Linked DNA regions of Styela clava. Each later gene encodes a partner of the first gene's protein in a complex. Links are inferred from orthologs where the notes say so. Each region holds a gene or a part of one and is shown on either strand. Other genes may lie near its edges. The genes, in order: checkpoint protein HUS1-like and cell cycle checkpoint protein RAD1-like.

Evidence for each region.
Region 2: checkpoint protein HUS1-like (region 1) and cell cycle checkpoint protein RAD1-like share a complex: the UniProt entries of both Drosophila melanogaster proteins name them as parts of the 9-1-1 checkpoint clamp complex. The link is inferred for Styela clava from reciprocal best matches to the Drosophila melanogaster genes Hus1-like and Rad1.

Annotation. Positions count from the first base shown.
Region 1 is NC_135253.1:6,346,608-6,357,070, reverse strand, and holds checkpoint protein HUS1-like, read left to right. Parts: upstream 1-6,035; 5' UTR 6,036-6,126; coding exon 6,127-6,178; intron 6,179-6,457; coding exon 6,458-6,585; intron 6,586-7,055; coding exon 7,056-7,232; intron 7,233-7,304; coding exon 7,305-7,442; intron 7,443-7,592; coding exon 7,593-7,708; intron 7,709-8,407; coding exon 8,408-8,577; intron 8,578-8,941; coding exon 8,942-9,027; 3' UTR 9,028-9,088; downstream 9,089-10,463. Other genes in the region: uncharacterized protein LOC120327064, read right to left, coding at 19-207, 599-755, 3,025-3,027; focadhesin-like, read right to left, coding at 9,837-10,463. UniProt on the Drosophila melanogaster protein: Component of the 9-1-1 checkpoint clamp complex. Involved in both meiotic and somatic DNA damage responses.
Region 2 is NC_135258.1:12,550,662-12,559,708, reverse strand, and holds cell cycle checkpoint protein RAD1-like, read right to left. Parts: upstream 4,115-9,047; 5' UTR 4,067-4,114; coding exon 3,239-4,066; 3' UTR 3,224-3,238; downstream 1-3,223. Other genes in the region: tyrosine--tRNA ligase, mitochondrial-like, read right to left, coding at 899-1,079, 1,926-2,219, 2,696-2,993; protein FAM227A-like, read right to left, coding at 4,820-6,511.

The DNA.
Region 1 (10,463 bases):
ATTAACGAGTATTCTTACCTAAAGGACAATCACCACATACAGTATCTGATGTTTTTGTACATCGTTTTATAACAGGTCTATCCCCACATCGACTACACATTCGACATTTCCCAGGCAATCTTGTATATCTGGTTGAAAAATGTCCAGGTTCACATTTTTTGCAGTGATAATCTCGAGTTCCGCTACAGGTTCTTTTGATGTATGTACCTTTGATGAATACCAGATAACGAGATCAGACAACAATAATACACACACATTTCATCGTAATAAAGCCTGTTGAGTTTGTCAAAATAAAATATTTTTTGTCGTATTCGTCATATCATATTATAATTGATATCGAAATTTTGTTGCATTTTCATGGCTCATAAGTTTGGGGAGAATTTGTGGGGAGATCAGTTGCAAATGACGTCAATCTGTGAATCACAAGACTACCGAGAAAAACTGCAAAGTCATTTCTCAGCGCGTGACATTTATTTTGTCTTAGTATAAACACCATGGTTCACCTGAATCAAATAAAGTCTCAGCATTCCGTGGCTCTAATACGTAGAGTCATATGACGCTAGGCTTGTACAAGTTACAAACAAAAATTAGCATATACCTGGTTCACATATACCACAGGCTTGACAAGCTTGTCTTGTGGCGTTGAAGAATGAGCTTTCACCACATTTTACGCGTTTGTTATTTTCATTTCTATATCCGACTACAAGTGTTGCAACAGTGAATAACAGCAACAATGCGGCACATATCTTGGTTATCTAAAAATGAAAATATTTCGATTCAGCATACATTTTGAAGTATTGAAATACACAAAATGAATATTCGTTGACTAAAAATCAAAAATCCATGGTTTGTTTGGTGCTCGTTTTCTCGCTCGTACCAAATTGTATACATGTGTAAATTCACCTATAATGGGAATTTACTCGGTACTCTTGAAGTATGCGCACCAAGATGTCGCACAACCTGAACCCCAACCTGGTACACAACCTGAGTTCAGATTGTGCGCCATCTTGAGCGCATACTTCAGGAGGTCCGTTTACTTTTTCATGGGCATTGACTTGCCGCACACACACTCATTATCTAGAATAGCGACTACAACTAGGCAAAAAAACCTTACGGTACGAAATTTATGACGACCCTTCGTGTTGGTACAAGATATGTTATTGAGGTTTGAAACCAGGATGACATATTAGGGTCCAACTGCTATTTTATAGCACATTACATAACATATTTATTCATAGCACAATTGTTTGTAATATAAGGAATTTACACGAGGTGCTTTTCAAACTTGTGCAGTTTATCAAATATTTGAATTGTGACGTTGAAAAAGGATGGTGCAATGCATCACCCTATTTCTATAGTTAAACTATTACGTCAGTATCTTTATTTATAAAATCCAATATTTATGAAATGTAACTTTTTTAATATTTTGTGTAAAAATTGAATTTTGTTTTTGTAGTTTCATTTTATGAATAAATTAGCGATATTACAACTTGTTACGTTTACATAAGAGGCCTAATTTCAGTGTATTGATCGACAATCCCTTTCCATAATTTGTCCTTCAAAATTGCTGAGTGTACCCAATTGATACAGCACGCGGTCATGCGAAGCCCGCCGAGAAAGATAACACCTAGAAATTTTTCGTAAGTTTCCAGACGGTACAAAAATATCACTGGTGTTTATTTTACCTATCACCTTACATATAGACAATAGGATTATCGTATTGAAGCACCCTGATACATACTGAAGTAAAGTGATTGGCACCTTATAATATGTCGCCAACAACAGGTATCTTTGATGCGACCACACGCGTAGGTTGAGGTCGCAATAAAGCCTTTTCCGTCCGTGTAAAACAGACACCACAGTTTTTATTAATAATAGTTTAGTCTAGCGTTACGTCGAGTGTAAGAAATACCTCGGTATGATATTTCGTCAGAGACAGAAACAGACGAAACACTTTCGCTTGTTCTGTGACGTTTACTTGCGCAAGAGTAGCCTAGTTGCGCAAATACGTATTAATATTTACTTAATACATTCAACACACAAAATATATCGGTGTTTCCCATCAAACGTCAAATTTATTTTTACCAGTAATTTTATGTCGCCGAAGTATAGTTTCACCTGTTTACTACATGAACTGCATGAATTTGATAAGCGTTAAGTTTACAGTTCCTAACCTGAGAATGGCATAGTCTAACTTAGTTTTGATTCTGAATGGATCTGCTGTATGCAGGCTGTTGATTTCAGTGAAATAAAAATACTATTGTCATCTAAAAAGCCTTTTGCGTTTTTGGTAATCCTACTATTAAAATATCGTCATCATAGAATATAGATAGATATTAGATTCTATTATTGCCAAAGCCAAAAACAAGAAGCGGGATATAGATTTCAATAAGAAAAACATAAATAACTCATTTTCACTAATTCTCAATCTACCTCGGATATTCTCGTCCGGGAAAAAAATGCCATGCGAATATATACACCTTTTAAACATGTCGCATTTGGGATGTAATTCGATATAATTTTTTTTTTTTCATTTCTACCCGATTTCTATAGCGGTTACAGGCATTTCTTAAAATTTTGAGAACGAGATTTACTAATATATTCTAATCGTTATAACAAAATAGACCTCATTTGACTCGCAAAATTTCTTACAAGTCAGGGCGGTAAGATAGACTACAGAACCACCAGTGGTATTAAACTTGTCCCTACTGAAATATATCTTTCCTGTAGCTATTAGTTCAATATATCTGATCATATTGCGAGTTGGCATTTAAACTAAAAAAATATAAAAGTGCGGTCTCGCACTGTTATTGCATCACCACTTTTATATCTTATTTTCTGATTGTGTCGTCTATCGTAGGTTAGTTAGAATATTTCAGATTTTAATATTGCCCCACTTTTTTCCTTTTAATATTGATGAGGATGCAGCAATAACGTAACCTACCATAAACTAACCTAGCCTAAGATAGTGGTGAGACAATATCAAAATCATAAATATTTAATTTTTTAAAGTACAGTACTCACCATTTTATACTGTGTGACTGTGTAGAACTGAAATTTTGCGAGAAGTCGATCGAGGTTTTTATATTGTAGAAAAGGGGGTTTCTCACTCGAAATTACAACAAGGGGCGTTTATGGAAGAATTCCCCAGAAGAGGCGATGATGTAATGGTCGACGTTTCATGTTTACGCTTAGTGCGCGTGACACATTGCTCAAAAGCGGTTTCGAAGAAGATCGCATTCGAGTTAGGCATAATTCGTTCAACATTTTGTAAGTAAATGTTGAATATTATAATTTGTTGATCTATTTTAGTTCAACTCATTCAGTTTCAGAAGCAACAAATGAAAAGCAAAAATTGTTAATCTTCGTTTTTACCGAAACTACTTATTCACAGACGACTAAAGCCACAAGTGTCGAAACTATATATATTGCGAAAATATAAGCTGATAGTTAGCTGCGAAACAAAAGAGTTTCGACTTGTATCGTATCTTTCTATTTTTATTTTCTTCTTACTTTCTCTCTTTATGAAAATAAAACTCCTGACATTTCGGTGAATTGATACCTTGAGGTTATGTACAAATAACTTGATGCGATATCACTTTTTCATAACCGCTAGGTATCAATTCAGCGAAATGTCGTGCATCAATTCTTAAATTCTTGTATCCCTGATAAACATCTATTTCATTCAACGATTTCTGGTTTTTTTGTTTTCGGGGTGGATTATATCAGAAACATCTCCAATTTCAGCTACGCGGTTCAACAGCAAATAAGCATACGGTGTTTCCCCGAATATAGGACAGGGTGGTATTTCAATTATCTTCCAAAAAATAGCACTAGGGCTCATTTTCGGTGATGTGTTTCAATTTCATTTATTAAAAACGAAATTACAAAGTAGAAAATAACGAGATTTTCAAATATGGAAACCGATATCCCTTTACTTATAAATAACGCGTTTTTATTAAAAAAAAAAAAAACTGCTAAACATAGATTGATTTGAAATAAACCATATCACCATCCTCTGGAATGTCTTGCATGCCAATGAAGATTTAATTTAATTGAATTTTTTGTCGAATTTTTGCACCTGTAGTTTCATGTCGACAATGAAAGGTCTCATCGATTGAGAACTTCATTGAACCTTATCGTCTCATATACATAGATTAATCATTTAAAACGCGTGGGAGAGATTTCTTTCTATCGACTAAGTCAAAAGATACTATCGCTATGTCTTATTTTAAGGGGGAGGGCTTATAAAATCATTTTCAAATTTGAGGCTAGGTTTTATTTTCGGGAAAACAAGGTAGTATGTTTTTTTAAATGCCTGGTATCAAACGTTTTGAAAACCTTTTCACCCAAGCGTATTGGCAAAGCCAATATAAGGGAAATTACATAAACTTCTTCAATGGAACCAGTCGGGAGCGATTGCAGTTCCTGATTATGGAACGAAAAATATTCCCATCAGCAGTTCCCATAGTTTGTAATTGGTGGAGTTCATCACCCATTGATTCAAAAAAAAAAAACTGTAATTTAAATTAAAGGATCAGGCTTATACAATCAAAATTTGTCAGCTATCGTAATGGGGAACCTATAACATTTTATCTACAAATATTTGCTTTGGTGCGGGATTAGCGATATATATTTTTTTCAATTCCTTCTTTCCGATATATTCACTTTTACTATCGTATCTATGAATTATCAAAAGCCTATAGCTGAAAAGAATTTTTTTTATTGCGCCATTACGTAGTTATGGGTTACTAAGTAAGTAAGAAACTTTATGGTAATTACGTCATTGAAACAAGATAAATCCAAGCGCTTGAGAATGGAATCACTCAATACGGATTACAAGAAGTAGTTTGTGTTGTTGCAACAAAAATACTGCGGTTAGTTACTGCACCACCCTGTCCATATATTTGTAAAATGCTGTTATTTTGGTTTCAATATATTTGGGGCTACTCGGAGCAAATTAAGTTTATTTTGAAAATATATGCCAGTACATGGGTTATCCGCTGTAGATCACAATTCTCTGTTTCAAGTAAGTCACCGACTCAGCATGCCATGGAAAGATTTTTAGGTGGACCACAGAACTATTAAAAAATGCCACAGTTGATTTATGTCACTATCAATAATTTTGATTGCACTAACAATGATTGTTTTCTGAGTAATAAGTTTCTTTCTAATTATTAAAGTGAAAGTGTCCATTTTTACAGAAAGATTTGGATTTTTTTTCTAGTTTATCACTTGCAAAAATGTATGGGTCACAAGAATTTTTGGGCAGCGAAAATTGGCCACAAAAGTAAAAAGGTTAAGATTTGAGAACCACTGCCCTAGATGGATAGATATGCATAACTACCGTGTTTCCCGAAAATAAGACTGGGTCTTATTTCATTTTTTTCGAAAAATAACACTAGGACTTATTTTAGGGGGATGTCTTATATTTTCATTTATCAAAAACAAAATTATGAAGTAGAGAATTACAAGATTTTCAAATATGAAACCGATATCAAATTACTTTTAAATAACACGTTTTTAACTGCAAAATAACTGCAAAACATGGATTACCAATCATTCAAAAAGTTTAGGAGAAATTTCTTGCTATCAACTACCGGTAGGTCGAAAAAAAATCACGTTATTGACCAGGTCTTATTTGAAGGGGGTGGTGGCTTATATTAAAATCATTTTTAAAATTAAGGCTAGGTCTCATTTTCAGTGTAGGTCTTATTTTCGGGGAAATCAGCACAAGAAGCAAAAATACTGCGGAGAAACTAACAAAAATGCGTATATAAATTTTTGCACTAACACGAACAACAATTTAGCAATACGAATTATAGTTATGAACATATTCAGGATGCGGAACGCATCATTCCAATTTTCCGAAGAACTAAGAAAGAAAAAATGACCGGGCATTTTATATAGAACTACGTTGCACCTACAACACAGAACTCACGATAAAGAATTTCATGCAAAGACAATTAGAACAATCGTTAGAATTCCATGGATGAACTCAATAAAAATCTGGCAACTAAGAATAGCTTAACACTTTCTTATGGGGGATCCCCCCGATTCACATTGCCGCGCTTGTTCAATTGTGGAATTTGCGAGTCGCTTATGCTTTTAAGTCACTAAAACAGGATGCGTTTTCGAGCAAAAGTTGTTGATATCGGATGTGTGCACCACTTGACAAGTGAGTACTATTTCCAGGCTGTTCAAGGAAAGAAGTAAACTATTTACCCATAGTTTCAAATTATGTAGGCTAGGTCTATATAAAACTAACACTTTAGTCTAGATACCGGTACCGTCAGGCGTGTGGTACCGGTACCGTATCGTACTCAAACCGGGTTCAGGGATATTTCCCTATAATATAATATCAAAACCGTGAGAGCTAGTACATCCATACATGGTTAACATACCGTGAGTAAGTAAGTGTTAGTTAGAATTATTCAATTTATGCATTGTATTTCAGGAGTTGTGAATACAATATCCAAACTTTTAAAGAAATGCACCCTCCGTTTCACTTCTGAAAAAGTTTATTTCATTCTACCAGATCAGGTTTCTAATGGAGGGGTCAGCATGTGGTGTGAAATCAAGCAGGTATGTGTTTTCGTATTAGATATAATGTGTTGGCCAATTTCAATGATAATTGAGCATTCAGGGAACTCAATCATTGTCAGAGTGGCACCCAATCAGCTTCTACTTTTTGGATTTACATATTTATCCCGGGGTAGAGGAAAGACTCTTTAATCGGCCTCTCGTCCGGTTACCAATCCATGTTGGGTATGGGATTAGTTAGCCAGTTATTTATTTTCGGAAGCATGGACTTGATGGTGGAGGAAGCCGCAACCGATCACATGAACCACCCTACGGCGGCGAGGAGTTCAGCAATTCTTTCGCACATAGCTATCCCCGGATACACGCAGTGTAATCAGAGGTGCGAATGCATTCCTAACGCTTAGCACGATTCGCCACACCGCCAAGCCTTAATTTTTGTTTTCATATAAAAAGTAATTTTTCAAACTTGAGTTATCCGGATACAGAGTATTGAACGATATGCATTTTTCTAGGAAAACTTCTTTGATGAATACCAGATGGAAGGAGTAAACAAGGATTGCAATGAAATCTATCTTGAGGTTGTAGCAGAAAATTTAAGTCGAGCACTGAAATCTGCACAAGCTGCAAAAGCATTAAAAATCAAACTGACGAAGAAACAAAGTCCATGTCTATCACTAGAAGTTGAATTGGTAAAGATATATAGAATTTAAGACATAAAGGGCTTTATTCATTGATAATTGCCATATAATAAAACATTTCAGCCATCTCTAGCGTCTGACTCGCGGACTGTAACACATGATATTCCTGTAACAGTAATACCAAGAAGACTGTGGGGAGATTATGCAGAGCCAAATATGCCAAACTACCATGTGACAATATTTATGCCTCCATTGAAAATGGTGAGATCGTTTTAAATACCAATAACAGTGTGTTTAATCAATATGCCTGCCTGAATTTGCATATTAATTTATACATATATAGTTTTTATAGGGCCTAAAATTATTTTTATGCCATCTTCAATTTGTATGAAAAAAAATAATTGTTATCAGGTCAAGACAATTGCGGAAAAAATGAAAAACATCAGCTCATATTTGATTCTTGCTGCAAATCAGCAGGGTGAGATGTTGATGAGAGTTGACACAGATCTTGTTACAGTGAAAACTAGGTAAAGCTGTTCAACATATTATTTCAAAGTATCTGCATGTCCGAAACTGCCAATCATGTGTCTGGTTTTCTGCTTTCTTGTATACATTTGTCCTGACATGTAGTCATCAGATTAATATTTCAAGGACTATTATTACAATAATTGAATAATATTATTACAATAACTCGAAAATTTTTTGCATTTCATTTTTGTCACGAAAGACATCAATAGATCGTTTGAAGATATTTGGTTTGATATTGATTGGCTAAAAATGACACCAGGACATATCTACAGTATAGTCCAGTGCTGTGAGGTCAGAGTTTGGTTGTCCTAGACCAGACAAGTATGGCCCGTGAGCGAAATCCGGCCCGTCCGATGCTGCCACGACCAAACTTTGATGTTTTAGTTAAATATAACTCAAGGTATTTGTTGAGATTGCGGTTAAATTTAGTTTTGGCATGAGGTTTATTGTTTTCCACTGTTGCTTTTGTAACACTGTAAACATTGTTCATAAAATGAAACTCTTTACCTCATACTTACATGGCCCGCCAGTCTAGGTGGGCAAATTGGCCCCTAATCTAAAAACCGTGCCCACACCTGTCTGCCCTAGACTCTGCAGCCCTAGTATAGTAGGTGGTATACATGACAAAGTGCGAGCTCGAATTTGTGTGCTGTTTCCGATATTTTGACAATAAAAGCAGACATTTTTTATGTTTTTAGTTTTCAAGATCTGGATATCCCTGATGTGCGCATGGAAGATGAAGAAGTCCAAAGTGTCTCTCACAGGCTTGCTTGGCCTCCTGATGAGTTTGCCAGTGCTAGAATAGATATCAAAAAATTTCTGCAGTTTTTGGCAGGACAGATTATAAACCCAGAGCGTGTGATTTGCAGTAAGTGTTTTTGGACATGAATTGACCTATGTATCTTTTTGTTGTTGTTGTGAAAAATTTGCTTTTCTCTTCAACTACTCGACGAATTGTTTTAAAATTTCAGGTGGTGAGAGCTTGTTGCTATTATTTTTATTTATTTCAAAAATTTCTGTGTGATGGCCTCATTAAAATTGGAAACTGTGCACCGTAGTCACATCTCAGTGATTTGGTGGTTAGACTACTTGCAGTGTAAAAGATTTGATACTACTTGTTTTGGCCTTTGTGTCTATTTTGAGCAATGGCCAGTTTTCAGTTTTTGTTAAATATTTATTTAATTCCCCAAATTTGACATGTGCTATAACAAATGAAATGTCATTTTTTGCAGATATCGTTGATGGGACCATAGTACAATTTTTCCTTCTTCATGATGAATTATCTCTGCAATATTTCATACCTGCCATAGCAAGATGATACTTCAATATGTGTTAATGTTTTTCTGAACTTGTTAATATATATTTTTTGTTCAACTTTGTATGTATGTGAATTTTCCTGTTGCCCAAATTGGTGGATAAAATGTAGTTATCATAGAGAAAACATAGACAGGTCATGCCAAGCTCTTATTCAATGGTTGCAAGTTTGGGCTGACCAGACACTCAAATGACTTGGAACCTTGTGAAGACAGAGGAACGAAGGTGTACTTATAGATGTTGAATGGCGGTGGTTGAGAAAGAAATGCTGCTATATGAGACAAGCAGGAATAGGCCAGAAAATATGTGTGACGCACTAACTAAGAACAATCGAACCTACGTCAGTTGAGGCCAGACCCCTGGATTTCAAATCTGGTCTCAAAACAGCAACCCTAGTATTGAGCTCATGATTGCGGTCCCTCGCCCTTTATGTTCTTTTAGTTACAATTTTGTGATGGTGATCTCTCACCCGTCAGTATGAAAACGACCAATGTAAAGTTTTGCCCTGGTCATCATTTTCAGTACAGCAGGGGTTATTGATTAGAGACTAAACTGATTAAGCATAAAATCTTTAGTGCCCTTACAATCAGACTAAATACATCAGTGTAGTGAAAGAGAAATGGCATTTACAGTAGCTGAACCCATATTGGCAAAATATGAACAAATAAGTCGTATATATATGACTTTTATTTTAACAAACCATACCAACTATAAAAAGGGAATGGTGTTTGACAGTGACAAGATCAGTAGCAGGAATGCTCAACATAAACTAATTGCTTCAAGATATTAAATTTGAATCATGATTGTAGACCATCAATTATCTTGTCTAAGCATCGGCTTGACAATTGCAGTTACTACTTTGCACCAAACGGAGGGTAATTGGTATCCTTTTGTATTAACAGCTGCATACAGAGCACCTCTAAATGGTTGTTCCCAACTTTGCATTGAACCAATGACATTTACCTTCTGCAACATCATTATCAACCAATCAGTCATATGCTTTATTAAATTTTCCCATTTCTCGGACTTGTATAACATTGATAGGGAGAGCGGAAACATATGTTTGCAGTCATTTAGACATGTAGACTGAACTTTCAAAATCATGGAACTATTCTTGTAGTGTCCCATAATGGGCAAAGAACTCCCAGCAGTTGACCAAAAAGCAACTGCCATAGATAATATATTAATACAATAATCTAACAGCCCATGATCGAGTTTCTCTGAAGATTCGACTATTTTCTTAATCTCACCCATCAGTTCTTGTAGCCATTCAATCTGGCTATGCACTTGTTCTTTTCTTCCAATACCACATAAACATTGACCAATGATCCACAAAGACTCATTACGAATACTTTCATCTTTGCCACACTTGAGAATTGTATTATTACACATGTTCAGTGGATGTGTACCAGTAAGTGTACAGCAACACCTGATAAATAA
Region 2 (9,047 bases), on another chromosome or scaffold:
GATGGATAAGATAAAGGAGAATCGCACACATCAAAACTTATAGATTCAACACATCTGTGAATTCTATATTCTTACATGTGACATAGTAAATCAGTCATTGTGAAAATGGAAAAGATTGATATATTCGGACCACTTTATTCATTAGTAAAACTTTAAAAATTCATAAGTTCAAACAATATACCCAAAATGGCAAAACAATATAATCACAAAGTCTTGGTCTTCCCATTGAATGTTTATAGTAATTGTAGTAAAGAAAGAGAAATGTATACCAGTACATAGTTTTGTTTTACAGTAAACAAAAATATAATAAAATCCTGCTGCAATTCATGTTTCATTTTCTATTCATAGCTAGATATGAATGAACCTATTCACATACAAAATAAGCTCAGGAAGTCCTTTTCATGTTGATACAGTGTTAACATTTTTGTGGATCGCCAAATTATGATTGAACAGCATTATAAGTTTTTTGCGGTGTAAAATGTGATCTAGCGTAACTGTGACCACAAGGCATGTTAATCTCGTGATGAAATCCAAGTTCGCATGTATAACCACATTAAACTAATACCAATCCAGTTACAAGCAAAACCAAATATTGTACTATTCAGAACATATTCTGAAAAACTATTTCTGCTATTGAATATATTTCAATTTTGTTTAATCCAACAAACAACATACATGAGTTATTGTCAACGTATTGAGAATAATATTTTAAACAAAAATATTTTCGTTTAAAATAAAAAATGTCACACTAAACCATTAGAATTCATTTAGAAGTATAAGAAGATTTGATTTGATCTGTATGTAATAGGTCACTTAATGAATGAATACAAACTTTTCCTGTAGTGATATATGATATCTTTAGCACCATATGTTGAATGAAACGAACATTTAAACTTACCGATCAATGAGATAACGTCCTGCATTCATGTTACCAAGTTGATCGGAACCTCCAAATTGAAATCGACAATTATAATTTTGTAATAAATGTAACCAGTCATATGCTTGATATACTTGATACAGGAATTCAGGCAAAAGAAGTCCTTCAGAACTATTCAATCTTTCTTTTACAAATCTTTTATCTAGAAGAAATGTTAAAAATTTGGAAATTAAGAAAAATGCTTTTCACACAATTACCTTGTAAAATCGTAAAAATTTCAAAATTCATCGTTAAAGCACGGAATAGTGTTTTAATGCTTTGATCCATATGGTATTATAGGGATAAAGAGATGGTGATGATGGGGGGATAAAGACTATCACCTATATATTTAAGTTCGATTGTTGTATATTATAGGAAGATGCACAATCCAAATTCCGGAAACAGATAAAATTGCAACACACTTAACTCTTAACACAGTAAATCAGGAGTGAAACAAAACACAACCGCTTAACGCAGTAAAACAGAAGTGAAATCTAAACACAATATTTGCAGCCCTCTCGGCAAGCCGGAACGATACGTCATCAAATTGGTCGATACGAGAAAGGCAGTACATGTAATCAGTAATGCTACAATAAAATGACCTATTGTGGGAAATGGAACACACTATTAAAATGAAAGGGTTAAATACATTATAATTCATAGTTACACAATGCACATTCGCTACAGTATGTAACTTAACAAGGCACACAAATTTAATTGCAATGCAAATTAAATGAAATTTAGAACCTGAAAAAAACAAGAGAGAAGTACTCAAATATGTTATAAAAATTGTTTCTATGAATTAAAAACAAAATAAATTGGGGTAAAATATTAGAGTCCATAAAACTCCAGGAGGAAATTATTTTTTGCATCTTTGGTTGTCAAGGAATAAATTTTGACTACGTTTTTCCTGATATTCACACATAATATATACTTCATTTTCAATCAGGAATTTCGTTTAATTTTACCAAAAAAACTGAACAACAAAATACCTTATTTATTTACCTACCAAGCATAGGACCCATTCGAAATTTCCTTCCAGCATTGGCAAAAAAATCCACAACATTGATATCTCGATACCAATCATAATTATTTAAAATCTTTATTGTTGGTAGTTCTTTAACTCCGCGATGAATATAATGCTCCTGTTCATGAGTTTCAAATATATTTGTGATACAATTGATAAGTCCTTTTGTGTTTTTGTCTAATACATCTGTCGAGACTGAATTTCTGTCTTTTGTTTGATCGCTCGGATCTCCAATTCTCGCAGTTGCATTTCCAATAACAGCGATCACATTATGTCCTATAAATATTAGCGTTATTAGAAGGGATAAGAACACTTTTTTTGAAACAACGTTGAATACAAAGCACAGATATATATTTCAGAAATATAATTCAAGTTTCTAGATGAAAAACTGGCCATCGTATTTGTCCCCTAATTTTCCTCGTCATTTTTCATTAAAACAAACCAACATAATCAGATATGAAATAGACCTATGAATATTTTGTATAGACTAAAACATGAAAATTCTCATCATTTTTTAATTGACAAATTGCTTTATGGACTAAGTACAATGCATTTTTACATGATAGGTACTGGAGCACAGCCACTGTAACGGACTTTGTCGTGTATTTGTTATACATTGTTCTCTACTTGAGTTTGCTATTGGTTTATTCTGTGTATTGAGCATAAAATACTCTGTTTCCATGTTCCTATTTTTGAAAGTATAATACAGCAAAACTATGTTGTTAGAGATTACTATTCTTTACAGTACTTACCAGCTCTTTGACAATGCAACAGTAGCATTAAAGACATTAAATTTCCAATGTGTAGACTGTCGGATGTTGGATCAAAGCCACAATAAAAGCATTGTTGTTTTAATAACTGCTCTGGCAATGAGACAGAAGCATTTGGAAAAATATCTTCTAAAAGTCCTCGCTTGTGCAAGTTAAGAATGTTTTGTGGCTTTATCACTGAAGATTTTTTGACGCTGTTTTTTGCGCAGGACATTGAAAAAAACTTTGATGTCCATTTATGACAAAATAAATTACGATATTTAATAATGGGACACAGCATGCTTATGCTATTCTGAAAAGAGTGTAAAAAACAATAAGAACTATGTGTATAAACAACATTTTAAAAGAAATTGATGATTGAAAGCTAAATAACCACTGACAAATGAAGTGAAAATCTAAAATTACTGATGCCATCTGTACTTTCCCAGCTATTAATACTGTTGATTTAAGGTCTGAATGGGTTCATATTTAGATACATGAATATTTTTTGCTAGTTTGCACAGGGTAAAATGGTTTGTGTTAAAGTCAAACATCTTCTTCATCAAATTTTTCATCTGGACAACAATAATATTCAACAAAACAAATTTGTCCACTTTCATTTTTGATCATGTATTGGAAGGATAAAAACCCACGATGATCCATTCTTATACAGACTTTACTTGCAAGATTAACTGCTTTTACGGAAGGTTTTAGCAAGGATAAACGGTACTGATTTGACTGCGGCTCTGAGCATTGAAAGATTTCTACCATATCAGAATCTTTATGAATATCATTATCTGTTCGTCCACAATATCCTGAGCTTGAAAGTCGGAAATATGGTTTTTGTGGAGACATCGTAATCTCAACCACATCAGAAGTGTGGTCTAACTCGTTAAAAGCGTCTCGCAGACAATCAGCTTTCATTATAATTTTATTAACAACATTAGCAGCGCAGAATTCAAAATCTAGAGTCTCTTCTGACTCTTGCGTCTTTATACTACAATCAGTTGTAATGTTTTCTTCTTCTAAGGTTAGAGTAAGAGGTGAACCATATCCCCCATAAACCATTTTTAACGATGTTGTCATAATGGAACTACTTCCAAATATAGTTAAACACTCTTGAAGAACGTTCAAATTGATACAGAAGTTTACTTCTTCATGGACATCATATTCATCAAAAACAGTTGCTTGAATGAAAGCATTAGCTTGCAAACATTTCGCATCTTCTACAGTTACTTTCAAACCGTTTTCTGTTACAAATACAGTTGCTACATCTTTGAAATGTATCGCTTTTAAAATGTGTGAAAGATTTCTTGCATTACCAAGTTTGGCTAGGAATGTGTAATCCTCATCTTCAAGCGTTGTGCCATCCATTTATCAATATTTATAAAGTAAAACAGCTTTTTTGGATTAACAGTAATATCTAAAAATAGAACAAATCATTTTATTATATGCTTGTAAAACTATAATAGGCAATAAGCACACAAACATATTATAAAAAACAGCATTGTATAGTCATGGCAATGACATTTCATTAAATTATGCTGTAACAGGTAAGCTACAAACATTTGAAGATATGTTAGGTAAAATAATACCATGAAGTACTCTTTTTTTGGAATTTGTAATAATAACTAAAAAAATATCATTCTATTAAATACTTGTAACAATACAATGGGCTTATAGGCACGCAAAAATTTGATAAATTACATCATTGTATAATCATGTCAATGGCACCAACGAATAATTTTAATCTAAATTCATTCAAAAAACTACAAACAGTTGAAGATATATTAGATAAAATAATATCACGAAGCACTTTTTATGGAATTTATGATAATTTTCGAAAACATGTCATTTTATTATATGCTTGTAAAACTACAATAAGCACACACAACTTTGGTAAAATACATTGTATCAATTTGTATGGTATAATCATGGCAATGAAACTTAAATATATTATAACTATAAAATTAAAACTACACTTGAAGATATATTTAGGTAAAGTAGTAGTACAGCAGTTACGAAAATTACAGTGAACAATAGATGTTAAAACTATGACAACATAATACAATTTATATATTAATACTAAGATAACTGATAAGGCACAGTGATATGTTATCTAACATTTTAATCAGCTGATTCTGCAGATAAAGCAGCTTGAACTGTTGCAGTGGCACCAACCGGATTCGTATCTTCTTCTAAGTTCTTCATTTCCATCAAGATGAGATTACTAAGATAGTGAACTTGACGTGGCTTCGACAATAATTTATCCGTTTTCTTTTTGAAATTTTGTAATTCCTCTCGCTGTTTTGCACAAAAAGATTTGTGAGCTTTCATGTCTTCTTCGTAAATATGTTTGAAAGATTGTGCTGCGGCGGATGCTTTAATTCTGCTCTCGTAAATGATGTCTTGATAGGTTTGGGCATCTTTAGCTGGTGGTGTTTGAATAAGTGAATGCTGGACTAATACATCAAAAAAGGATTTTTTCTCGAAACCATATTGACGAGAAAATTGAACAAGCAATGGTGAGCGACCATACACGTTGAAGACATTCCTTGAAAACTCCATTGCACGCCCAGCAGCACAAGATGAATCGCTTTTTGGTGCAATAAACTTCGTTCTTAATCCAGCAGTGCTTTCAGTGGTTGATGTCAAAGGTTCTTCTGTAATTGTTGAAAGGGCATTTTGCTCAGATGCTAATTCCGCAACACGCGGTGTTAGTTTAGGAGAATGTGCACAAGATGCAGCATCTGATTTAGCAGTATGCATTCTTAATCCATGCGTTTTTTGAGATCCAGTCGGTGATCGAATTGACGATGTTTTAGTTGAAGCAGCGGAGCTGTATGAACTTGCTCTTCCACCTAGAGACTTGGCTGCATGATCAGGTCTCTTTTTCTTTTTTATAACTTCCTCCTTTCGCATCCCATCTGGCTCTAAAGCTGCCATATTCCATTTTTCATAAGAGCGAGGTGGCGGTGGAATACCTGAAATCCATTCGCCGCAAACTTGAGCTAACATTTCCTTGAACGCTGGTTCGTCAAACTGCCTCCATGACTGCGGAAATGCAAGGCAAAAAGCAGCATAAATTGATTGAGCCAGAATTGTACCATAATTAGCGAAAAACAAATCTCTATACTTCGGAATTTCAGCACTGAGTAACAGACCAACAAAATTGGTTGATATTCTTTTAAAGAGCTTGCCTTGGTTGATTGGATCAGGATGAAATTTTCTCAAGAAAAACCACCAGAAACCATCTTGCAGTATCGATTCTTGCATTTTTGAAAACAGTAGTCTGCAAAACTCCCGACGAAACGCAACTTTGTGTTTCAAATCTGGTTGAGCAGCGACAACATTATCAAGCACCTTGTTAGTTTGTAGAGAATGCGGTAGAGGAGCACATTTCTTCTTATTCCATCCTGGGAACTGCTGGAGTTCAACCAATCGAGGAGCGTCACTTGATTTTGCTCTTGGAGTTCCAGGAGCTTGTTTTTCTACATCAGCACCATACTTTTTCTCTGAAGGAGTTGTTCCACGAATGCTCATAGAGGGAGAATAGCTTTCAGCATAAGATTCAGTTCTCTTTTGCGGCTCTGGTGTTCTACTGTCAATTTCAAGCTGGCTCTCATATTTTGATAATTCTTCATCAAGATTGGTGATTCTTTGGTTAATTTTTCCAATCGTACCAACAAGAAAAGAAGCGGGCGATTCTTTTTGTAATTGTTCAAGAAGACGAATTTTGCTTTGTACTTTTTTGTCAACATCGAATAAATCCTCTTCACATAAGCTCATAGGAGACGCGATCCTACTGATGTGTGACATTTTTCTTATTTTTATACCCAAAAAGCAGTCTTTGTTTGGAAAAAAATTACTACATTATCATTCTAAAATAAGAACAAAATCCGTTTACAGTATTGCAAAGCACATAACCTAGAAAGCGTGCAGTGATTATCCCAGTCAAAAACCCAGTGTAACTAAAGTATAGGTCATTGGCATAATTAGTCTATATCTATACTAAATATAAATTCAACTAAGGTTATATGGCTGGGATTTAGAAACAATTATTTAATTACACAACTACAAGCGACAGTGAAATAAGTCAAAATAGCATTTTGGACATTTTTTAGGTTGAAATATTATGCCATATTGAGATTCGTTGAAGGCTGTTATATTGATCCATATGCAAAAATCAGGATAAAAGTTTAATTTATTGTCACAAAATTTGACACATCTTTATAGCAATAATTTGGATCAAAATTTCAGAAAAAAATGCCAAAATATTTTTTTAGGAATGAATCTGGAAATGTGTTTAGCATTGTTTAGAAGTGAATGACTTGATTGTGTTTGTTGATGCTTGTTGGCGTTTAGTTTCAGTGGGTGAATTGAATTCTAAGGACAAAGTTTTTAAGGACTTATTTTATTTTAATACAATTACCTTGATTCAACTTATTTTCTCCAAATAACTATGAAACCATTATAGAGTGTTTCATATTTGCACTCCGTCAATAACATATCAATTTAAACTCACAATAGATAGTGTATACACAAACACAAAAACATTAGTTATATATGATTTTTTGCATTATCCATCGATGTAAAATAATGTGAAACGGTATGGAATACCAAATCAAAGGATTCACTGAACATTCAAATAAGATTGGTGTCATTGTCAAAAACAGACTTTTTATAATTTAAGCAATATTGAAATATAACATTTAAGATGGCATTGTATACCTATGCACTTAATAAACAAGACACTTTTGAATAATATTATATCAGATATAATATTGCATAAAGTGTGCAAATTTCAGAAAGTGATTGTAGAGGACATTTATGTGTTTCAGGATGAAAAAAGGATGAAGTTTTTTTGTAAACTAATATTAAACAACAAAATTTTCAACCCAAGATTTTGTGCTTTATTTTTATTATTCCAGAATCAAAATGGAAAAACGTTTGCCACTTACTAATGATTGTAAGCACTGATTATACCATGTTTAGTTGTAAAAAAATTACAACCAGTGTTAACAAAGCACAATCAATTTTGAATCCAGAATTTTCTAAACATTTTTGCATTGAAGTAGTATGTAACCAATAATTGATGCCATTCAAAGAAACAACAAATAGAAACTTTTGACTAAAACTAACAATTTTTATAAAAAATGATATTGAGGCCCCAAAAGAAAGGCATCGGGAAGCACAAGTTTTGGTAAAACTTTTCAGTCACTTTGAATTGGAACAACTTGATAAGATTTAACAATGATTGCACAATGCATTCAACAAAATAAAACCTACGCTTGCTACACTATTGCCAGCGATCAATGACTGCATTTCTATCAAAAAACAATTAACCATGGAACTTGGCTTAAAAAATCTTAATAATGACAAAGTACATGTAATCTAGCGATCAATATTTAAATTCAAAAATTGTCTTATTTTTTAGACTTTAATAACCAACTTTGAGCAGAATATTATGTAGTTGTATTCATTTTTATAATAGAACTAATAATTTTCAACTCTAAAGCTTAATTTGAGAAATAAAGGTTTCTAATCTAATACCCTATTACATATTTAAATGAAGGACAGTACCACATGAAATACATCTTTATAATCAGAACTAAAAATTTTCAACTCTGAGCTTAATTTAAGAAAAAAATTGTTCCAAAACTAATACCCTCTTACGTAATAAATGAAGGATGATACCACTTTAAGGATATGCACCCTAAACAATTTCATAAAGTAACGTAAATTTAGTCCTAAAATATGATTGGGCACATTTTTTTCTGTTAACAATTAGATTTGGATGAATGAATATGAAACATGAACTACAATAATACCATACTAATCAATTCAAATTGAGTATGTATAGCATGGTATTTTTATTCCTGCCGCAACATCCTTGCATTATACGCATACACAAAGGCATTGAGGAAGGATTGGGAGTTAGTGTCACGCAACCTCTACTGATAGTTAAAATAATATCGTCCACAATTAATCCCCAACTTCAGTGAATTTGATTAGCAATAAAAATATTGTATAATTCCCACTTTTAATTATACACTACGTAAAGATTACCTAACAATTACAAGAACATATAACACAAGAAATGTTACAGACACATTTTCAAGGCGATTCTCTCTCTGCTGTGTTGTAATCAATGTGGCAAAACCAACACTAGATCATAAATTATTTTTATCAGCCAATATGCAGATATAAATTACATACCTTACAGGATAATTAACAAATTACATACACTAATGTTTGTAACATCTGATAAAACCATAAATACAAAATAATTTGCAAAAAAACAGGACAAATACATGCACCGCAGCTGTGCCTAACTTTAAATTTTTGCACATGC